6 linked regions of the Cricetulus griseus genome follow. The protein of the gene in region 5 purifies or fractionates together with the protein of the main gene of each other region. This does not show direct contact. Links are inferred from orthologs where the notes say so. Each region holds a gene or a part of one and is shown on either strand. Other genes may lie near its edges.

Region 1 (2,495 bases), on a different chromosome or scaffold from region 5:
TGAGATTATTAGAGATATATGTCTTTCCAGACTCTGTAATGGCAAAATAAGAATGTAAGGGCGGACAGACACAAACATGGACATACATACATACACTTTCCCTCCCAAAACCTTGTTTTAGTTTGCTAGAATTTCATCAAAGGCAGCATGAGAATTTTGGTTTTTGAAAACAGGGGTTGGATACTGTCATTACACTGGTTATTCTGGGGCACAACCTAACCAGCTTGAGCTGTAGCTCTCAGGCCCACCTTTGAGGTGCTGAAGGTACCAGACGCCATGTTTATAGACCGAATGCAAAGATGAAAGTAAGTACAGTGCAGTGGCATCCTTGCCACTGCAGGTGACATCCACAGTACCTCGCCCTTGGTTGAGCTTGGTAGCACTGATTTCTATGTTACAATGAAGGGAATGCTAAGAAACCAAAACCCAATTATTTAAAACATTAGACACAAACACTCTATAATGAAACAGTATTATCCAAGTGAAAGAAACAGGCATAATAACATGAAAAAACACATTTTATTGCACTTAAGTTATAAGAAAATAAAATTTCTAAGTGAATCAAACCATAGACACAATCCCTTTAAAGGTTGTTTTCCTCCATCATGTCAGGTTGTTACATAACTAAAATTAACCAACTTGAATCTGATTGTTTTAAATCAGACTATAAATAAAACAAACAAAAAAATAAACAGGAGGAGGAAAAAAAAAGACTGACTAGGATACAGTGTTAACCACTTTCACAGTTCAGCTTGAGTTACGGCTCCTGGTGAATGAGGCGGACCATCTGACTCCCGTTCATCGCGCTGGTTTGCGGGTGACACCGTCACTACAGAGCGATGCTCCTCTCACGTCAGTTACTCAGAGCAATGAAACTGTAACAGTTGTTTTCCCAAATACTGTAAGATGCTACGACTGACCAGCAACTTCCTTTTATTCTGTATTTTATATATATCTTTAAAATATCTTGTCAGTTTTACTATATACGTTCATCCATTCACCACAGCCCTCAAAAAGAAGTTTCTCCACAGAACAGGCACCTCAGGCTCTGTCCCAAGGAATGTGTTTTAATTTTTGCCCAGATAAAAGAAAATAAGCTTTGCACACACTCTCGATTCTTATTTGCAGGCAAACTTCACTCTTTATTATCTGAAACTTTTCCATTCTCAGCCTCTTAGAGGCACAGATGGCTCAAGTTTCAGTGGCAAAAGTCTTTTTTTCTGTAACCAAACTAGAGCAAATTTGGAATTCAGTCTGGGACTAAAACGTCACAGCAGAAAAAAAATAAAAAAAAATAATTTGCTTTTTCTTTCTTTCATTTAGCAGCATAAATAAGTTTGGCCACTGGGAGTACAGTACAGGGGTGGGACAACGATCCCATTTTTGAAGACCTACTTCTAGCACCAGCATCAAGAATTAAATCCATCTCAGGACTCACAGAACCCAGGACAACTTGCCACCTTTGAGCAATGTATGCATTGAAGAGTGTATATGGAAGCAACAGTAAATAGATTAACAGAGGCTAATACTGTGATTGATTGACATTGGCAATGGTTGGCAAAAAAAAAAAAAAAAAAAAAAAGAAAAAGAAAAAAAAAAAAAAGAAAGCTTCATGATAACTGTACAAAAATAATTCACAGTAATTTCTTTAAGCTTTTCCACTTCAGAAAAATGACTTTTTGTTGCAGATGCTCTCTGATTAGAAGATCAATCAGCACATGTTTGGATATTATTGCCACTCCTTTCTAGGTGACGGTCACAACATCTTGGTGTAGCTCTGCCCAATGACCACTGGAGAAGAAAATAAAAAATAATTGCACCTGGTTGGATTTAGAAAGTCTCCTTTTGCAAAGCTGCCCCTCAGTCAGAAGTGAAGCCTTTAGGTGATGCGACAGCTGCCGCCTCCTGTCAGTTGCGGTTTCTTGTCTCTTCTTTGATCCTTCTTACCTTCTTAGTCTGTAGGTCTTTTCAATCTGTTGCCCCAAGCCAACATCCTGCACCACTGAGTACAAGGGATTTTTTTCCTTTTCTTTTTTTCTCTTTTTTTTCTGTTTTTTTTTTCTTTTCTGTTTTTTTTTTTTTCCTTTTCAATTTTTATTTTTGCGCAGGGGGGGCAGGGAGTATATTGTCTACACAGTTGGACAAAATTCATCTTGTTTGCTCTTCATTTCATGTCCACATCGAAGTCCAGCACCAACAGCTTGGTTTCTTCAGTGCCATTCCTACTCCCAACTGCACATACCAGCTTGGTGTTAGAGGCTCTGATCCGCCACACAACTCCCCCGCTTCCCCCACTCTCCAATGTTACTAGGTTTCGAATAAATTCACCCGTTTTCAAGTCCCAGAGTTTTACAGTTCCATCATCTGAGCTGGTAATTACAAAGTTCTTGTTGAACTGTAAACAGGTCACAGCACTCTGATGCTTGTTGGGACCTAGGCAAAAGCACAGGGACTTAATTACTAGTTAGAAACGGTGGTCAGGGGCTTGTGCACAG
Region 2 (3,204 bases), on a different chromosome or scaffold from region 5:
TAGCCATCACTGACCATGACGGACAGCTAGGAAGGGACTTCAAGCCACCAGTGTATGAAGCAGCAGGTTGGAGTCACAGTGGCCACCAAGGTGGTAACCATGTTTCTGATCTCCCCCAGGAAGACGGTGTGGACCGGCTAGAGCACATGGAGGAGCAGCTAAAGAAGGCCACCGCCATGCTGGGGGAGGCACTTGCGAGGGAAGGCTGACCCCACTCCACTCTTCTCCTTTCCTATACTCCCTAAGGCCCAGGGCTGTTGACCTCAGAGCCCCCATTCCATCTGGCAGGGACTGGGAAGCAAGAGTGCACCTGGGAACCAAGGCCGAGAGAAGTCTGAATGGGGCAGGGGTGGAGTTCAGACGACTCAGGACCCCACCCCACCCCACCCTACCCCACCCCACCCCTCCATCCCTCTGAGTGAATAAAGCACAAAGCAAACCCCACGGCTCACACAGCTTTGGAGGAATGGGACCTGAAATAAGCAGGAAGGCACTATCAGTCTGGGCTCTGGCTTCAGGTCTGAAGCTTTATTAAATGGAAATTATATTAATATTAGAAATTAAGTCAGGCGGGGTTGGAGTCATCAGGAAGAGGTTTGGGTGCCGGGGAGGGAGGTAGCCAGTTTTGGCTCCTGCCACTGTGGACCACAATGTCGTCATATTCATCCTGGGGACAGAGAGGGATAACACAGGGGTCAGGTAGCTGCCACCTTGCCCACTGCCCAGGGCACGGCACTTAATGGGGTCTCCCTCTGACGCCTGTGTCCCCTTGCCCCTCCGATATGGTTCCCACTCAGTGCACCTCCTCTCACGCTGGAGGTCCTGGTTCTCAAGACCACCTTCCCCCATTACCCCTGTGGTCCAGCCTTACAGTGGCTCTCTCCCGTCTCCCCTCTGCCTTCACCCACCCTCAACCCTCTTCATGCTATACCAACCCCTACACAGGGGTGTGCCGTTGTCTGGGTTCTTCAGTAATGCTCCCTGCACCGCTGCCTGAGGTCTTTCTCTACCATCAGTGTTCTGGCCACTCTGACCAAGGTCACCTACCTACAGCCTAAGTTCGGCAATCCTGCTCCCAAAGTCACCTCCGATGCTCAGACCCTCCCTACCTGTGTTCGTGACCACCTCTGGAGGAAGTCTAACTTGGCTCGTCTTTGTTCTTTGGCCTTAAACTCACAGACATCCACCTGCCTCTGCCTCCTGAATACTGAGATTCAAGACTAATGGTGTGTGCCACCAGGACAGATTGCCTTAGCTCTTCAGCCACCACCGCCACCCTTGCCCAAGTCTATAAGTTTCTCCTCATCTCACGTGTCCCTTGTCTAAGTCCCTGGGAGCATCCGCCACGGTTTGCCCTGACCCCTCCCGTGGGGACGCCCACTCCTCACTCACGCCCTCATCTCTGCCGTCACTGTCACTATCGCTGCTGCTGCTGCTGCAAGGGCCGAGCTTATCATCCTCATCCTCAGGTTCAGGGGCTCCATGTGCACGGAGGAGGCGGGCAAGGATGGGATTGGGCCGGAGCAGAGCACTGCCAAGTGGGGTGCGGCCCCCATACATGCGGGCGGTAGGGTCAGCACCAGCCTTCAGAAGAAGCTCCAGTACGTTGGCTGCCTGGGCTTCTACCGCCAGGTGCAGAGGGGTCCGGCCACACGTGGGCTCCTGTGGGATATGCCAGATCAGTCAGGGAGACCAACCAAAGACGGGAGGGTGCCTTCACACACTGGCCCACCACAGTGGCTCACCGGTTTATTGAGGTCAGCTCCAGCATCCCTGAGCAGCCGGACCATCTCTGCATCTTTGTGGATGACAGCTACATGGAGTGGGGTGTGGCCTGGGGACAGAGCAACCAGTGTCAGATAAACTAAGGCGCCTCAGCTCTGTCACAACCCTAGGGAAAGGCCACGTGAGCTAAAGATACCAGGTTTGGGGGCTGGCTCCCGAATTCCAGATGCCTAAGTCTTGGGTGTCAGCATGCTGGTGGGTGTAAGCCTGAGTGGTACAGTATCTGGGATCTACAAGGGATGAGTCTGGGCACATAGTCTGTGGACCAACAGGATCAAGTCTTTGGTCTTCCTTCACAAAGAACAGGGGCTTGACGAGCATGAACAGCTCTTAAATTCCATCCCCAGCATCATAAATAAAACAAAACAAAACAAAGCACAATAACAAAAGGAGTTGCACAAAAGACCTGGGACACTGGCTACCAGATGACCTTAGTTCTTTTCCCAGGAGGCCTGACTGAGGAGGGTAAGCTCTGCACCATCTGCCCATGGCTCGGAGCATGAGATGGGTCCTCCCATCCTGGACAGGCTGGGCTAGTGGCTTATACTTGGGAACAGTTCTGGAACAAAGGCACCTTGCAGATGGGTAGCCTAGGCTCAACCACTGTATCCTGGCATTTCTGGCTCTGTGGGTGGCAGGTCTGGGCTGCAAGTAGTTTGATGACCAGATCTGGGAAAGAGAAGCCCTGTCTGTCCAATTCTTCACACTCCCAGGCTGAGTGGAGGTCCTTAGTCCCAGTGCTGGGATTCCTGGAGCCTAGGGATGATTTTGCTTTGGGGTTCTTTTTGAAACAGGGGCTCACTATGCATCTAACATGATCTCATGATGTTTCTGCTCCTGGCTTTTGTCACCCAAGTGCTGGGATCACAGCTGCACACGGCCATACCCTGAGATGGGACAGGGTCTCCTGAACCTAGATTGGCTTCAAACTACAAAGCACCAAAGACAACCTTGAACTCCTGATCCTCTTGCTTTCACTTCCCAAGGGCACCACCATGCTAGGTTATGCTGGGAATCAAACCCAGGGCTCTATGCCAGCGGCTGTGTTTCAAGTTGGGTAAGAAGAGCAGGTGGTTTGTTTCCCTGACTCTGGCCAGGGGCTCTCGTCCTTCCCAGGGCCCAGGGCCCTCACCCTCATAGTTTTCAGCTTCTAGCTGCAGCTTCCAGTCTTCATCACTCGGATCCTCTTCGATCTCTGGGTTGGGTTGAGGGTTCACAGCAACAGGGGTGGGGCCGGTGTCTGTGGTATTGTCCTGGCTCTGAGTGAGGTAGGTATCTGAGACATCCCTTGGGCGTCTGGGGCGGGGCTGGAGCAGCGCGCATGCGCACGTGTGTGCCCTCACCCGGCAGGCCAAGTGCAGAGCGGTGTGGCCCCCTCGCTCAGCCACCAACACTCCGGCGCCAGCTGCATACAACTTC
Region 3 (4,243 bases), on a different chromosome or scaffold from region 5:
CAGAACTGCCGGCTACTTTCCTATACTGCCTGCCTTCCACCTGGCCTGCCCGCTCTGCCCCACAGCTACCAGTCCGGCAGTCAGCATCACCGAATGAACGCAGGGTGCTCACACTTCAATGGCTCACCCTACCCGTGAAAACACTCAACCCCATTCCTTTCCCTTATTCGGGATCCTAGTGTGCAGAGGGCTGACTTATCCTTAGAGCTCCCCAAATCCACTCTCCAAACCGCCCCTCTCCACACCCACTTCATGCTGGTGCTATCAAAAGTGTCCAGAGTGCTGAGATACCTCCAGTTTAACTGAAATACTAAAATGGGGCAAACAGGAAGCATCAGACACAACTGCGGTAGTGACTTATTAATCACGAAAGCAGAATTTTAGTTGCATTTTAACCTTTTGCCAGGAAGAAAAAAAGCATTGAGGTGATGGAAGCCAACAGTGGAAATGTCTGCTGCCTGCATGTGTGGCAAGCTGACCTTTCACTTAGACTGAATTTGGTTTTCAGATTCCTTCTTTCTCCCCAGAAAGAACATCTGTCAAGCCACCCAGGATGAACCTGTGAGCTCTTCCCAGAGCAGAAGCAGCTGTTGGGAGAAGTCCATGTGCTGTCCACCCAGACAGGAAAAACAAATAGGAATCCTAAAAGTGACTTCAGAGGCCAAGGCGATAACATAAAATTCTTAAGAGTGGGCAAAATGGCCTAAACAAACAAGCCTGGATTTGAACTTTTAGATACTGTACACCCCTCCAATCTCCTACCAGTCCCTAGCTAGTAATGAACCCTTTCACTCACCGGGGGAGAAAAAAAAAAAAAACTCCTAACAGTTGCCAAGGGCTAGACAACCAATCAGGGTGAGTCCTACCCTCTCTCATACAAACACTTGGAGCAAATCACAAAGGAATCAGTGTTCATCAGGAGAACCAAAATGAGGAACCAAACCTCTATCTGCCGAGGCCGAATGGCAAAACCAGACATTTTTGTTTAATAGATGAAGGTTCATTTGGCAGGGTCTCTATGGTGCCACTCCCACAAACTCTGACACCAGAAGGGGGGAAAAAACCTCAAAACTGCTCCTTCTACCTAGGAACAATCAGAAAATGATCTAAACCCTAGTACCTGTTTAATTTCATAAACTGCTGGTATATATTTCTGGGTATGTACAGCTAGGTAGTTATTTCTAAAATTAAGTCAGACATATTAACTATTATTATGAGATCTTCTGAGAAATTCACCACACTCTTCCAAATAAATCAGGATGTCTTCTTCTCTTTTTCTTTCCGGTGTTCTGAGACAGGATCTTGCTATGAAGCCCTCGATGCCTTCAAAGTCACAGTATTCCTCCTGCCTTAGCCTCCCGAGTGGTGGGATTACAAGGGTGTGCCACCCTGCCTAGCTTTCAAGATGTCTTAAAGGTGTTTGAAAAACTCAGAAAGCTGGCACTGACCCAAAGGAATTGCCTTTGACATCACTTCAGATGCAAGAGATACATCATAAGCAAGTCAAGAACTCCTCAAGCATCCTCTCATGTTAAGAGCAAAAAAAGCTACCCCACATCTTCTCAGACATACACTCACCCTCACCCCACACACCTGGTTCAAGTACTTCACTTATCAATTGAATAATACTTTATCCGTCTTACCACACCTACCACTAAAGGTGAAAGCTACTAAGCAAAACCATGCATCACTAATGTTAGGATCCTCTGATCTTTCAGAAAGACTGTGTTTCTAGCCGCAATGCCAGTGTTCCAAAGTTCACTGCTCATTCACTTTTAGAGTCCTTAATCAATTCATCAAGTTCACTGTCCCCAGTGAACAACAACAACAACAAATTGTCATCAATACACGGATTTTAAAAACTTTTCTTCAATCATCCTCTCCTTTACAACCCATCCTTTAGTGCCGAGAGCCATCTTTTAACCTCAACTGGGGGGGGGGAGACTTTTTCTGAAGTTAATGAACACGGGGGTGGGGGGGGAAGGACTTTTTCTGAAGTTAACACGGAAGAGGCTCCTAAGCAGGTGGGAATCTCTGCCTCCGACAAATGTTTTTTACTTGGTGACAGGTGGCTGCAAGTTGCTAGAGCCACGGTGAGCTTCCAAGATGGGACTAGCACATATAAACACACACCAAAAGTCCCGGGTAGAACACAGAACCACACAGAAAGGTCAGGATCACCGAAGAGGGAGGGTACTGAGGGCGACTAGCACTGCCCTGCTGAGTGCCCAGGGCAGCCTCTGCTCCTTCCCCCAGCACAAGCGACCCCAGGCACTTCACAGTGAATTCAAGGCAGCGCTTTCCTCGGCTAGGGCGGTGGAGCCGTCTCCTTCTCTTGGGGGGCACCTGAGAGCCGGGTCTGCTAGCGGGGCGGCTGAACTCGACGGCGCGGATGTTGGGGAAGGGGAAGAAGGCAGTGCCCTCGCGCGTTTCGGGCGAGCGTGTGACCCGTGGGTACGCGGCCTGGAAGCTCCGGGAGAGCACGGCGCTGCGAGCGTGGCGCTGGTGGCGCGGCGCGTGCGAGCAGCCTAGAACGCAGACACCCGGCCACCCATCCCAGGCAGCCCTCGCGGGGAGCAAGGCGCACCCCGGCCCCGATCTCAGGGGCTCCCCGTCCCCGCCCGCTCGGGCCCTCAGCGCCCCGCTCTAGATCTCCGGGCTCTGCCCAGTCACCTACCGGCTGAGCGCCGTTCTCCTCAACCAAGCGAGTGTGGCGCTTCGCTGGCCAGCGATAGCTCGGGGGCCCAGGCCGCCCCTCCCCGACCACGCCCCCATGTCTAGCCCCGCCCTAGGCCACGCCTCTCCCTGTGGCTGCGACTTTGCGAGCTTCCCGCCTCCTTTCTTTGGCCGCACTGCGACCCTTGATCCCGCCCACTCCCACAAGTAAGCCAATAAGGCGTCTCCTCCAAGTCGGCCTGCCGTCATCTCCCCAGCCGCGATTGGCTAGTGCGGCCTTTCCCAAAATGGATACTGCTTCCGGCCAGGGTTTCTAGAGGCGAGGGCTGGCTGGACGGGCGGGCAGTAGGCGGAGGAGGCCAGGGTGTTGGTGGAACCACACATGCGCTTTCGGCTTCTGGCAAATCTTTTTTACGGGTTGCATTCTTTTTGAGGTTACGGGAAGGAAGGGCGACTGTACGCATGCGTGGGCATTCCCAGCTTCGGCTTGGGTTACCTTGGAGATGGCGAGGCGCTTTCCCTCCAAGGTCTTGGATTCCACTTCCTTTCTGCTTGAGGGAGTGGCTGCTTCGTGGGGTCCTGGAGGGGCTAGAAACACTTTGTGGAGCACTTGGTGTGTGCCTGGTGCTGTGAAGTGTCTGGAGACGAGGTTACTGTGCGTGGGGAGCCTGAGGCCCACGTAGGACAGGCCTAGTGTTGAAACGCAGACGGCTTGGTACAACCTCTTTCCACCCCAGGAGAAGCTGCGCAGTGTGAGTGCTGGGCACAGGCTCCATCCTAGACTACAGCGCCAGAAAGACCTGGTCTTTGAAAACATGGTGTCTACAGTGCCCTTTTGATGGGGCCGAGAGGGAGTGTAGGGAATGTATAGATTTTTTCCCCCTTTTCTAACTTTGCTAATGAGCTTTCTACTGAACAGCAAGCCTCTATTTAGTGGTAATAAGAAGTCACTTTTTTTTTTTTTTTTTTTTTTAGAGTGTCCAGAATGAAAGATGTGTTGTGACCGTAGGGACTCTGCTGGGAATCTTAGCTGCAGCTGCAGGGACTGGATGTCGGGTGGGAGTGGGCAGCCCCATCCGAGTCTGGCTTGAAAAATAAGGAGACTCCTGTCTGGAAAGGTTTGAGCCAGAGCCAGGCCACTGTCTGCTTGTGACCGCTTTGCAGACCTAGCTTCCCTCTGGAGATGTGTCCAAGCAGACAGCTGTTGTTGGACACCAGGAAAGGCCATTCATTCATTGTGGGAATGCCACAATCTGGCCGGCATTCAGGAGGCTGAGACAGGAGGATGACAGGTTTGAGGCCTATCTGGGCTGCATAACCAGGTTTCTGTATGAAAACAAAATAAACAGCCTACAAACCGAGAGGCTCACCCACCCACCCCTGGGCTAGAAGCGTGTGAGTGCAAAGCTTGAAGTTGCTCATAGTTCTAGCCCATGCTGTCTTATGCTTGACCATGACAAGTGTTGTCCCTAGGAGCATTTCTGGCTGTGACTTCCATAGAACGTATACTTGAGAGTCAAGACAGTCTCTGGCACATATCTTGGCTTTGCCAGTGACCAGCTGAGAG
Region 4 (3,964 bases), on a different chromosome or scaffold from region 5:
AAATAAAACTCTTGTTTTATACAAATATACAAGTCCATGTTCTTTTTGACACTTTCCACTCATAATGTCAGACGTTGGCCTCCAAATACACAGTCATCATAGGGCAGCTAAAACAAGAGGGGAAAAAAAAAAGGCATATTAAATTCCTAGAACTTTGCCAAGACATTGGGATGAGGGGAGGGGACTGCTTCTGCAAATAACTCACAATCTTGGACTCTTTCCTCCTTAACCCAAATAGAATGAATCCCCCATGCTGTCGGAGTTTTCCTTCATTGATTCTCTCCCTTAAAAACAATCTAAGCTACGGCAGGAGGTGTAGTTCAATGGCAGAACACATGCCTGTTACCACGTGTTAAGGCCTGGGTTCAAACTCCAGAACCTCCCTTCACCTCCAAGGGTTAAAACAAATCAGAGAGACAAGTTCTTGGGATACTGGTTTTGCAAGCTGCGTTTCGTTAAATAATTATGTTGAGATCCCTATAATAAAGACTAGTTCTGCTCTAGGGACGGGAGAGGGGTGAGGGAGAATGGACCATTCTGGTAGTGACGAACACTCACCTCATCCTCCGTGAATTCTGACTCTGTGTCGTAGCTCTCCTCATCCTCACTCTCGGGCAGCATCTGAAGATTTTCCCGGGTCAGCTGGCCCAGCTGCTGCTGTATCCGGGTACTTGGTCGGCCCCAGGTGAGCTGATAGGGGGAGTAGCCTTGGTAGGTCACTCTATTGACGTCAGCACCACACTTCAACAGGAGCGACACCAGTTCAGGGTTCTGCAGGTCCACTGCCAGGTGGAGGGCTGTCCGGCCATTGCAGGGCTCCTGAAACCAAAGCAATCAGACATGTTTAAGGCCACATCTGGAAATCCACTTGCAGTAAGAACAAGTCTGGAAGAGTTCAGGAGGAACCTGACTGGCTCCAACTAGAAGGGAACTGCACTCACCTGGGCATTGACATCGGCACCCAAAGACACCAAATGCTCCACGATGCCCAGGTAGCCATGGATGGAGGCGAGGTGCAGACACGTGTGGCCTAGAGGAATAAGAGACAAAAAATATAACTACTTGTTTCAATTGTCACACAACTCGTGCCCTATTTTCTTATGGGACAACCACAAATATCCTCAATTCTTAAGAACTCAGAATTTGAGTTTTGACTGAACATTATTATAAGGACATCAAGAAGGGATTTTTTTTAAAGTCCATATTGTCTGAACGTTTTATGTTGAGAGTTTAGGCTCTAGCCTAGACTCAAGTGGGCCCACCTCTCCCTTCTCTGTGTCCTGGGATGGACTGATAGACCTACCATTGTAGTTGGTGGCCTGCAGGATGGAGTGGAGATGCTGAGGTGTGCACGTCTGTGTCAGGACTCCTACACTGGCCAGGCAGCCCTGCTCACAGGCAAGATGTAGAGGGGTATTTCCTCGAAAGTCTCGGAGCTCAGGATCACAGCCAGCTTCCAAAAGTGCCTCAGCAATTCCTGGCTGGTTGGTGATCACAGCCAAGTGAAGTGGAGTCTACAAACGGAAGAGGAAACAGAACGGGGATAAGTCATGGAGCAAATCCATAGTCTTGAGTTTCCTGAACCCCAGACAACTCCTTGTGAATTCTGCTCCTCCCTGATGGCTACAGGGGACCAGGCAAACATGAAGCCCCAGTTGGGTCGTAAAGACCTCACCAAACCCCTGGGATTTTCTTCAAGCTCTAAGATGTTGGCTAATTTGAATGTAAAAGGCCAGGGCAGATAAGGGCTCAGTGACTATTAATTTAGAAACACTTTGGGGGCGACTGAGCTAACATCCAACTCCACCACCAGGTCAAAGAGGGCACGGCTGGGGCAGCGCGCACCTGCTGCAGGTTGTTCTGGAAGTTGAGGAAGGCCAGGTCTCCCTTCACCTGCCGAATCACTTCCATGGTCAGAGTCTTCTCTTCATGGATGATTGCCAAGTGCAGGAACCTGAGGGATGACAGGGAAAGCCCCCGAGGGGCGGTGAGCGCACTGCGTGGGGGCCCCCAAGAGGCGCGGGCTGCGGGGGATTGCGCAAGGCCGGGGTTTCTGGAGGCCGCGGCCGCGGTGTTTTCCGCGAGGTTATTATGAGCTGAGTGTTCCTGGCAGGGGCCCAGGGACTTTCCGTGCCCCACCCCCTCCGGGCGGGCGCCGGCCAGACCGGCCCGCCCTCCGCCGCCCGGAACGCCCTGTACTTCCCCTCGCGGCCGCGCGGCGCCCGGCGGCTGCGCGCACAACTGCCAGGCCGGGACTTGGCGTCCCCGCGGCCGCCCCGCCCCGCCCCCGGCCTGCGCTCGGCTACGCCGGGTCCCTGGCAGGGGAGGAGAAGGGGGATGGGATGGGGAGGCAGGCGACCTGGGCGCTCGCCATCCCCGGGAGCCCCGTCGTGCTCCCTCCGTGCAGAGCCCCGAGCGCGCTGCAGGTCCCCACCGCACCCCACCCCAGGCCTCCCGCGCGCGACCCCGCCGCCCGTGCCCGCCGCCACTTACGAGTCTCCGTCCTCCGTGAGCTGCTGCTTCCAGGGCTCGGCGGCCAGCGGCGCCTCCTGCGGCTGCAGGCGGATCTCCTGCAGCTCCTTCACCATCTGCTCGTACTCCTCGTCCTTCATGGAGTCCAGGCCGCTGTCGTGGCGATCGTCCACCAGCCGCTCCTTCTTGAGAGCGTCCCGCGGGCCCTCCATGGCCCAGTCCTGGCCGTGGCCGGCTGGCTGAAACATGGCTGCGCGGGGCTGCGTGCGGGGCTGCGAGCTGCAAGCTGCTGGCGGCTGGGCGGCGAGTTGCGACTGTTGTGGGCTCGCCAGCGCCGCCGCGCCGCCCTATAAACGCTGGCAGGGGATTTCTCAGGGGCGGGGTCAGGCTCGGGGAATTTCCAAGCCAGTCAGACTAGAAAAAGAACTGGCTCGTCCTCGACTGAGAAGCCTAAACCCAGGGCCGGGGTTCATTGGAGAAACTCCCTGCGATGAGCCACTGGGGTCATGCACAGGGAACTTTTTGATGAGCCCTGAGTGGCTGGAAAGTCCTCCGGACCAGGCCCCCTCCCTCTAGGTACTTCCCTGCAGCCTGCACTCAGTAACCCCAGGCCTCTGCAAGAACCCTGCTTTCCCTGGGGTTTCCCACCGTTGTCGATTGGATGTGGGGTCCTCAGCTGTTGAGATCCCAAGGACGCAGACCCGCTGGGCGGTTCCTCTTAGCGATTTGCCAATTTGCAGGTCCTTTCCGGTTTTTGATCTTTTGAAAACCCACGAGTGGAAATGCTGGCTGACTGCAGGGATTCGCTTCTCATAAATTTCTTCGAGGAAGGAGACATGAGTGTCACTAGGCCGTCTGTGTTTTGCCCATTCCAGGCTCTAGGCACTGCAGGGACATTTGGCCGTCCCTCACCCCCACCCCATGAAGCTGGGAAGCTTTGACATTAAAAACACCCAAGCGCTTGGAGAACCCCTAGAATATTAAATAGGGTTCGATAATCTTGTCTCCTGGGGGAGGGCGAACTCTAGCTATGTATGGAAAAAGTGTTAAATAGAAACCACATTTTTTTTTTTAAAAAAAGTAGAGCAAGGTGTAGTAGTGTTTGCAGTAGAAGTTGTAGCTTCCTAGCAACAGTAACTGTTGAGTTCTTGTGTCAGATTTACCACTTGCTGCAGAGAATGGAGTCTGAGTTTATGGTGAGTGCCTAGCGGAGCAACTGGCTTAGTACTTTAGCCAAGGCTGGCCCTTAATTATAGCTAAGAAAGTAGCTGCAAGGCATCCTGTAGGATGCTCAAGGCAGTCCTCACATTGACCACATCTGAACCCTGCTGGCTCTTCCAGGGTCCTTGCTCCCCAGGGAAGGCAGCATTGTGGGTAGCTACTCCCCAGAGAAAGGGATTTGGTCCTGTGATGCACTAGTTTTACCTGCAGAAATAGAATATCTGCTTTCACCCCTTCTCCACTTAGGAGCCTGCAATCTGTCAACTCCCTC
Region 5 (2,314 bases):
GTCCTAGAGATACAGCACACTCAACCTGTGGCTGTGACCCCCAAGGTGGCCTCTGAACAAACCATGACCAGGTAACCCTACTGAAGTCTACTAATCATATACCCTTCTTGTCTCAGGACTGGAGGAGGTGGGAAACTTACCTGCAAAATCAGGCATGTGCAATATTTGGGGCACAGCATGGGCCCCACTATGCAACAGCACCTGCAACAGGCCTAGGGCTTCAGCACCTGCCCGCAGAGCCAGGTGCACAGCCGAGTCTCCATGTCGATCCAGCAGTGTGGGGTCTGCACCCACCTGCAGCAGGAAGCTCACCACCCTTGTCTGCCCAGTGATTACTGCTAGGTGCAGAGGTGTCTGGGGAGGGAGGAAGGCAGAGCGAGCCAAGCCCACCACAGCTTAGGATTCCCTGTCTTCAACCACTACCCCTCGCCCCTTCCCAGAGGCTTCCCATACCTGGTGCAGGTGGTTAGTGAGGTTGATGACCCCAAGGTACTGGGCATGACAGATGACATGGGCTATCTGCTCAATGACTCCAGTCTGCCCATGGATAATGGCCAGGTGCAGTGGCCTGGGGGTTGGAGAGGGAGACCTTGACTGGGAAACCAAAGCCACCCAAAGCATCATCTGCCCTCAAAACCTTCATGGTCACCTTCACTGGTGACCCTGGATGTTACCATCTTTATCCTTTGTCACACCTTGCTACTGTGCCCCTTTCACAGCTAACAAAATTGAAGGTTGGGGAGAGCAAATTTCTTGAACACAACTAGAAAATAACGAGGACCAGATCTGTCTGACTCTAGGGTTCGGCTCTTTGCCGTTTTCTCTACTGCCCCAACCTTTAGACCTGGTGGTACCAGGTGACCCCCTGGATGTCCCTAGGCTGCTGGCCCTCGGGCCGCTTACGTGTCTCCGTTCTCATCCTGGGCCGTCAGCAGGTGGCGCTGTCCCGCCAGCAGAGCGCGCGCGTCGGCGGTGACGCCGTAGTCCAGCAACGCTCGGGCGCTGCGCTGCGCCAGACCGAACAGGCGCGCGTTGTACTCGCGAGCTGGAGGCGACAGGGCGCGTGGGTGCGGGCCAGGTCCCCAGCCCGGCGCGCGCCCGCCTGCCAGCGTTCCTCAGACCTACCTCGCTGCAGCGCGTCTAGGGCCGGCGGCTCGCCCTGGGGGACCTCGGGGGCCGCGCTCGGATCTTTCGGATCTTTGGCCACCTCCCCGGCATCCACGCCCCGCCCTGAGCCGGCCATCTGCGCTCCGCCCCCGCCACCCTGGTAGCAGCCCATTGGGGCCGCGCCGGACTGGTAGGGGCTGTAGGTCAAGGAGGGGAAAAAGCCGAGGCTGCCACCTGTGGGCATGGGCAAGGCTGTGAGGTGCCAGCCAGGACTCTCCCAGACTTCTCTTCTAACTTCCCCTCACCTCCGCCACCCCTCTCCCGGCCACTGGGCCCGCTCACCTCCTCCAGCGCCTCCATAACCCCCAGCAGAGCCCCCAGAACCCCCACCCATGTGGGATCCGCCCCCGAAGGGTTGGGAGAAGGTGGGCAAGGCCTTCCTCCGCTTCCGCTGCACTTCCTCCTTGTCTAGCGGGAACAAGAAACTGGGAGTTAAAATCCAATACACCGGTAGTCTTCAAGCCCGGCAACCTGCAGCCACCTCCAGGGCGCCAACGAGGCCACCATGCTCCCTCCAGCCCCTGGGAACCTGAAGCCCGGCCCCACCTTCCACCAGAGGGTAATAGGTGAACTGTTTGGAGTCGGAGACGTCCCCCCCACGCTTGCGTTTCAGCTGCAGGAACACCGTCACAGGTCTCTCTATCTTCATCTTGTGATACGGCGGTGTCCGGAACACAATGGCATACTGGGGTGGAGGGTGGGAGACAGACCTTTGGTGTCAGTGAGATCTCTGCCTGGGTCTGCCTCCAGGTCAAGCCCTGGCCCCTCAGTACCTGTTTATGAACGTCTGTAGGAGAGAAGTCCCCAAAGGCTTGCCACCCATTCTCGTCATCCTCATAGAACCGAACCTCAATGTCATCTACCGAGAAAAGTGAAGCTTAGCCATAGGGAGAATCTGCAGGTCCAGTGCATTCATTCTGAAGTTGCCCCGTCCCTCGCCCCGCCCCGCCCCCCCAACAACCAGTGTTTTTAATTCTCAGGCCTCCTGCCTCACCTTTCTGCACCTTATCACAAAGCAAATAAACTTCATCACCACCACGCACAGAACCTGCTGTTTTGTCCATTCGGGAAATCTTCAGGTTTGAGGCCCCTGGAGACTCTAGGATGGGAGATAGGTTAGGGCCACGTTGGCTTTGTGGTCATATCT
Region 6 (3,500 bases), about 2.2 Mb from region 5:
TGTTCTTATAAAAACACCCAAGCTTAGGCCTGAGTTCCTTGGTCACGTTTCTTACAGAATTAATCAAGGCCCTGGTATGCACCTTGGGGAAAAAAAGGTATAAAAGGGAATTAAATGATCCTCCTATGTGTAAAGAAAACAGATGGTTACCTAGACTACTAGATTAAGTTTGGTAGAGTGGAAATAGGTTAGAAATCTACTGCACTGAAACTGCTAACAGCTGCCTGCCAGTACAAAAAGAACTGGCTGAAAAAACTTAGTTCATCAATTATAAAAGAATAATTGGTTTGGGGTGAAGATGTTATGGTGGAAAAATTAACACAAATATACAAATTAACACAAATAAAAATGTCTAAGAAAAACATGCAACTTATGAACATAATGTAATTTCTTCCTATGTAAAGATTTTAATTTGTTTTTGGAAAATATGTAACTTGTGGTGGTGAGGTAATCTCTTGCATAGAATTTTTTGTCTTAGGATGTATAGAAGGGATTAAGAGAAAAATAAGAATAGTAGAAGAAAAACACCAGGAAAGATGTAGAAGGAAAACATCAGGGTAAACGAACAGAACAGAAAAAGAACAGAGTAGAAACAACAGCAGAGAGAGAACTGAAAAGAAGAATTAAACTTTGGCCCTTAGAAAAAAGACTCCTGTGTGTGTACAGCTCTGCTGACACCAACCTCCTTTCCAGTTTCTCTGACCTATTGGAAGCTGGTCTTTCAGCAGCAAAGTATACAGACATGAGGCAAGTGGGAGCCTTCCTCACCAAGCCAAAACCAGTACAATTAAATCTAAATGAGGGAAGGGGTAATGACACCAATCAATGTCCTAAAAGGAAATCCCAAAAGACACTTTAAAAGGCTCCTCAGACCATCTGAAGACACCTGAAATCCTGGCTAAAGAAATAAAGGATCCACTCTAAGTATATAATATTCATTTTTAAAATGGATACCAGGAAAAGATCACTAATATAAATTTATACTCATTTTCAACTTGCTAAGGTCAATGCAGGTATTCTAAAATGCACCCCATTAAAACTGACCTTTAAGTTGAGAATATGATCCATTAATACAAAACATCTTGGCTGCTTCAAAGTAAGATCAATAGGCCCCCCTCTCTGCTGTGGGTCCCAATTCAGCATCAATTGTAGCCAGCTTTCCATGGGCTCTACTATTAAACTGAAAAATGAACAAAAACTGTGTGAATATCATTATGTTCCAATTAAACAGGCAACATCACAGGTCATCCATTTCCTTGCCTATGACTTAACAGTACCATTTATATCTTACTTTCAAATAATTCATGAATGAAAATAAACAAGCCCCCCCCAAATAAAACCAACTCTAAATCCCCATATCACTTTGTAACTGGCAAATCCAAAAGAAGAGTCCAACTCCAATCTTCAAAAAAGCCATTTACTTCTTTATTCCTTGGGCTTTCTTAGCATCTAAGGCAATCCATTGATTGGTAATAGTTATCAGTTCAACAATGTCTGTGTTATCCCATAGGATAATCACTAATCACGGTGTTTTTTATAATTACTACTCATTTAAAATTCAGTTCCTCAGTCACACTAACCATACTCCTCTGCCAACCTAGGCAGTGCTGAGCAGCAAAGCCAGCAAGCAGGCTAAGCAAACACTGTCCCACTGAGCCGTATCTCCACCCCTTACTACTTTTCACATGCTCAATAAGCCTCTTGTGACAGAAGACAATGCTTTCATCCTCATGGGAGGGACTACTGGATAATGCTACTTTGAAACACATAACTATTCTCAAAAGTGCGTGACCTCCCACACTTACCTACAAAGGTTGTTTGGTTGAGGTAAATGGCTACTAAACCGAACTTCTCCGGTCATCTCTTCACATGCAAATATACACTTTGGATCTTTCTTCTTAATCTTCTCATGCCTATAAAACCAAGATACCTTAGTTGACAACGTGATTCTCACAAATACTCTGAAGGTCTCTTGCATTGAATTTCATTCAATTCTGTGTTAAAAGACAATTTCACCACTATAGAAAGAGAAAAGGAAACAACTGAAATTTTTCTATTACTATTGATTATGCCAAAGTTCTCATCATTTCTTACCAGGTAAATGGCTGCAGATGATGCAAAAAAGGCCTATATCCGGCAATACATTCAAACACCATGGTCCCAAAGCTCCAATAATCCACAGTGGCTGTGTACGGCTTATTTTCAAAGAGCTCTGGGGCCTTAAAATAGAAAGTACTTTAAGTTCCAACACTGTAAGAAAAGAGCTACTATTGTTTTGAACCACTATATTCATTGCCTTAAGAAAAAACAATGAGAATTTTAAGTAATCAAATTAAAGAAATGTCTCACCAAATACTGTAATGTTCCCACAAAAGATGTACAGAGACTTCCTTGATCAACATCTTTGGCATAACCCAAATCAATTATTTTATGCATTATCTGTGAATATTAAGACATAACATATATTAAATTGTTGAAAGATTTGCAAAAGAAAGGTAGATTGGGAGTGTAGCTTAGTAACAAATTACTCCCATTGCATGTATAGGGTCGGTTCAATCCTAAGCACAGCAAAAAACAAAAAGATAGGCCATTGAAATGGCTCAGCTGATAAAGGTATCTGTCACCAAGCCTGATGACCTAAATTTGATCCCCAGGATCCACATACGAGAAGAAGAATCAACCCCTGTTGTATGCTGACTCTGCCCCCTGACAATGGGTGGGACACGGATATCGGCATTCAGGCAGATACTTAAACAGCTCAAAAGGGTCCTGTGTTGCACGGCCATGTCAGGCATTATGGGCTGTGTAAGGACTCAGCACGCATGTGCAAGCCTCCCCTTTTAAGTTTGTACCTCCATATTCTTTTTCTCTCTCTTTGCTTGCTCTCTCCCTTGATCTCTCTCTCTCTCTGTTTCCGGTGGTTGACCATTAATTCTTCTCTCTTATTCTTCCCTTTCTCTCTTACTCTCTACTCTTCTCTTGCTCTTACCTTCCTTTCCCTCTCTTCTCTTACACTATCTCTTTCTCTTCTGTCTCCTCTCTCTCACCCTGTCTCTCCCCTCTCGCTCTCCCGCCCTGCAATAAACTGGTTAATGTACTCTATCGTTCGTGTTCCATCATGTAAGTTCCATCTCCAGCCCTTTCTAATTTTTAAACTTAAACAGAAGAACAACCCCTGCCAAGTTGTCCCATGACCTGCACACAGGTCACAGCACAGAGATGCACTCATACATGCAAAATAAATAAATAAATGTAATTTTAAGAAGACAATAGTGTTTTTATAACACTGGAGAGGAGATGGTAAAGAATCTGAGCTGTAAACAACACAAAAGTGTGAACTCTGATAGCCTGATCGCTATTTAACTAGCTGGTGTTAATCTATTTTGTTAATCTTTTTATTGTTGTTGTTAATTTTTGAGACTAGGTCTCCACTGTAACCCAAGATGGTATCAAATTACAGCAACCCTCCTGCCATTGCTGGGATTATAGATGTCAGGTAA

The links.
Region 1: the proteins of Nfkb2 (region 5) and Fbxw7 purify together in Homo sapiens (affinity purification with mass spectrometry; 7 studies listed by BioGRID and IntAct, with this or other methods). This does not show direct contact. The link is inferred for Cricetulus griseus from reciprocal best matches to the Homo sapiens genes NFKB2 and FBXW7.
Region 2: the proteins of Nfkb2 (region 5) and Nfkbib purify together in Homo sapiens (affinity purification with mass spectrometry; 4 studies listed by BioGRID and IntAct, counting the BioPlex papers as one, with this or other methods). This does not show direct contact. The link is inferred for Cricetulus griseus from reciprocal best matches to the Homo sapiens genes NFKB2 and NFKBIB.
Region 3: the proteins of Nfkb2 (region 5) and Map3k14 purify together in Homo sapiens (affinity purification with mass spectrometry; 6 studies listed by BioGRID and IntAct, with this or other methods). This does not show direct contact. The link is inferred for Cricetulus griseus from reciprocal best matches to the Homo sapiens genes NFKB2 and MAP3K14.
Region 4: the proteins of Nfkb2 (region 5) and Nfkbia purify together in Homo sapiens (affinity purification with mass spectrometry; 6 studies listed by BioGRID and IntAct, counting the BioPlex papers as one, with this or other methods). This does not show direct contact. The link is inferred for Cricetulus griseus from reciprocal best matches to the Homo sapiens genes NFKB2 and NFKBIA.
Region 6: the proteins of Nfkb2 (region 5) and Chuk purify together in Homo sapiens (affinity purification with western blotting; 4 studies listed by BioGRID and IntAct, with this or other methods). This does not show direct contact. The link is inferred for Cricetulus griseus from reciprocal best matches to the Homo sapiens genes NFKB2 and CHUK.

Annotation. Positions count from the first base shown.
Region 1 is NW_023276806.1:69,434,700-69,437,194, forward strand, and holds the end of Fbxw7 (F-box/WD repeat-containing protein 7), read right to left. Parts: intron 2,434-2,495; coding exon 2,165-2,433; 3' UTR 501-2,164; downstream 1-500. UniProt on the Homo sapiens protein: Substrate recognition component of a SCF (SKP1-CUL1-F-box protein) E3 ubiquitin-protein ligase complex which mediates the ubiquitination and subsequent proteasomal degradation of target proteins.
Region 2 is NC_048602.1:7,108,310-7,111,513, reverse strand, and holds the end of Nfkbib (NF-kappa-B inhibitor beta), read right to left. Parts: coding exon 2,918-3,204; intron 1,835-2,917; coding exon 1,746-1,834; intron 1,663-1,745; coding exon 1,393-1,662; intron 668-1,392; coding exon 566-667; 3' UTR 501-565; downstream 1-500. Other genes in the region: Ccer2 (coiled-coil domain-containing glutamate-rich protein 2), read left to right, coding at 120-209. UniProt on the Homo sapiens protein: Inhibits NF-kappa-B by complexing with and trapping it in the cytoplasm.
Region 3 is NC_048600.1:114,875,100-114,879,342, reverse strand, and holds the start of Map3k14 (mitogen-activated protein kinase kinase kinase 14), read right to left. Parts: upstream 2,801-4,243; 5' UTR 2,678-2,800; intron 1-2,677.
Region 4 is NC_048598.1:146,913,795-146,917,758, reverse strand, and holds the start of Nfkbia (NF-kappa-B inhibitor alpha), read right to left. Parts: upstream 2,801-3,964; 5' UTR 2,721-2,800; coding exon 2,494-2,720; intron 1,955-2,493; coding exon 1,846-1,954; intron 1,515-1,845; coding exon 1,304-1,514; intron 1,031-1,303; coding exon 942-1,030; intron 820-941; coding exon 559-819; intron 108-558; coding exon 60-107; 3' UTR 1-59. UniProt on the Homo sapiens protein: Inhibits the activity of dimeric NF-kappa-B/REL complexes by trapping REL (RELA/p65 and NFKB1/p50) dimers in the cytoplasm by masking their nuclear localization signals.
Region 5 is NC_048596.1:15,285,017-15,287,330, forward strand, and holds part of Nfkb2 (nuclear factor NF-kappa-B p100 subunit), read right to left. Parts: intron 2,267-2,314; coding exon 2,162-2,266; intron 2,027-2,161; coding exon 1,941-2,026; intron 1,853-1,940; coding exon 1,714-1,852; intron 1,576-1,713; coding exon 1,450-1,575; intron 1,342-1,449; coding exon 1,126-1,341; intron 1,046-1,125; coding exon 904-1,045; intron 569-903; coding exon 454-568; intron 355-453; coding exon 141-354; intron 4-140; coding exon 1-3. UniProt on the Homo sapiens protein: NF-kappa-B is a pleiotropic transcription factor present in almost all cell types and is the endpoint of a series of signal transduction events that are initiated by a vast array of stimuli related to many biological processes such as inflammation, immunity, differentiation, cell growth, tumorigenesis and apoptosis.
Region 6 is NC_048596.1:17,455,241-17,458,740, reverse strand, and holds part of Chuk (inhibitor of nuclear factor kappa-B kinase subunit alpha), read right to left. Parts: intron 2,440-3,500; coding exon 2,350-2,439; intron 2,220-2,349; coding exon 2,095-2,219; intron 1,914-2,094; coding exon 1,806-1,913; intron 1,181-1,805; coding exon 1,045-1,180; intron 1-1,044.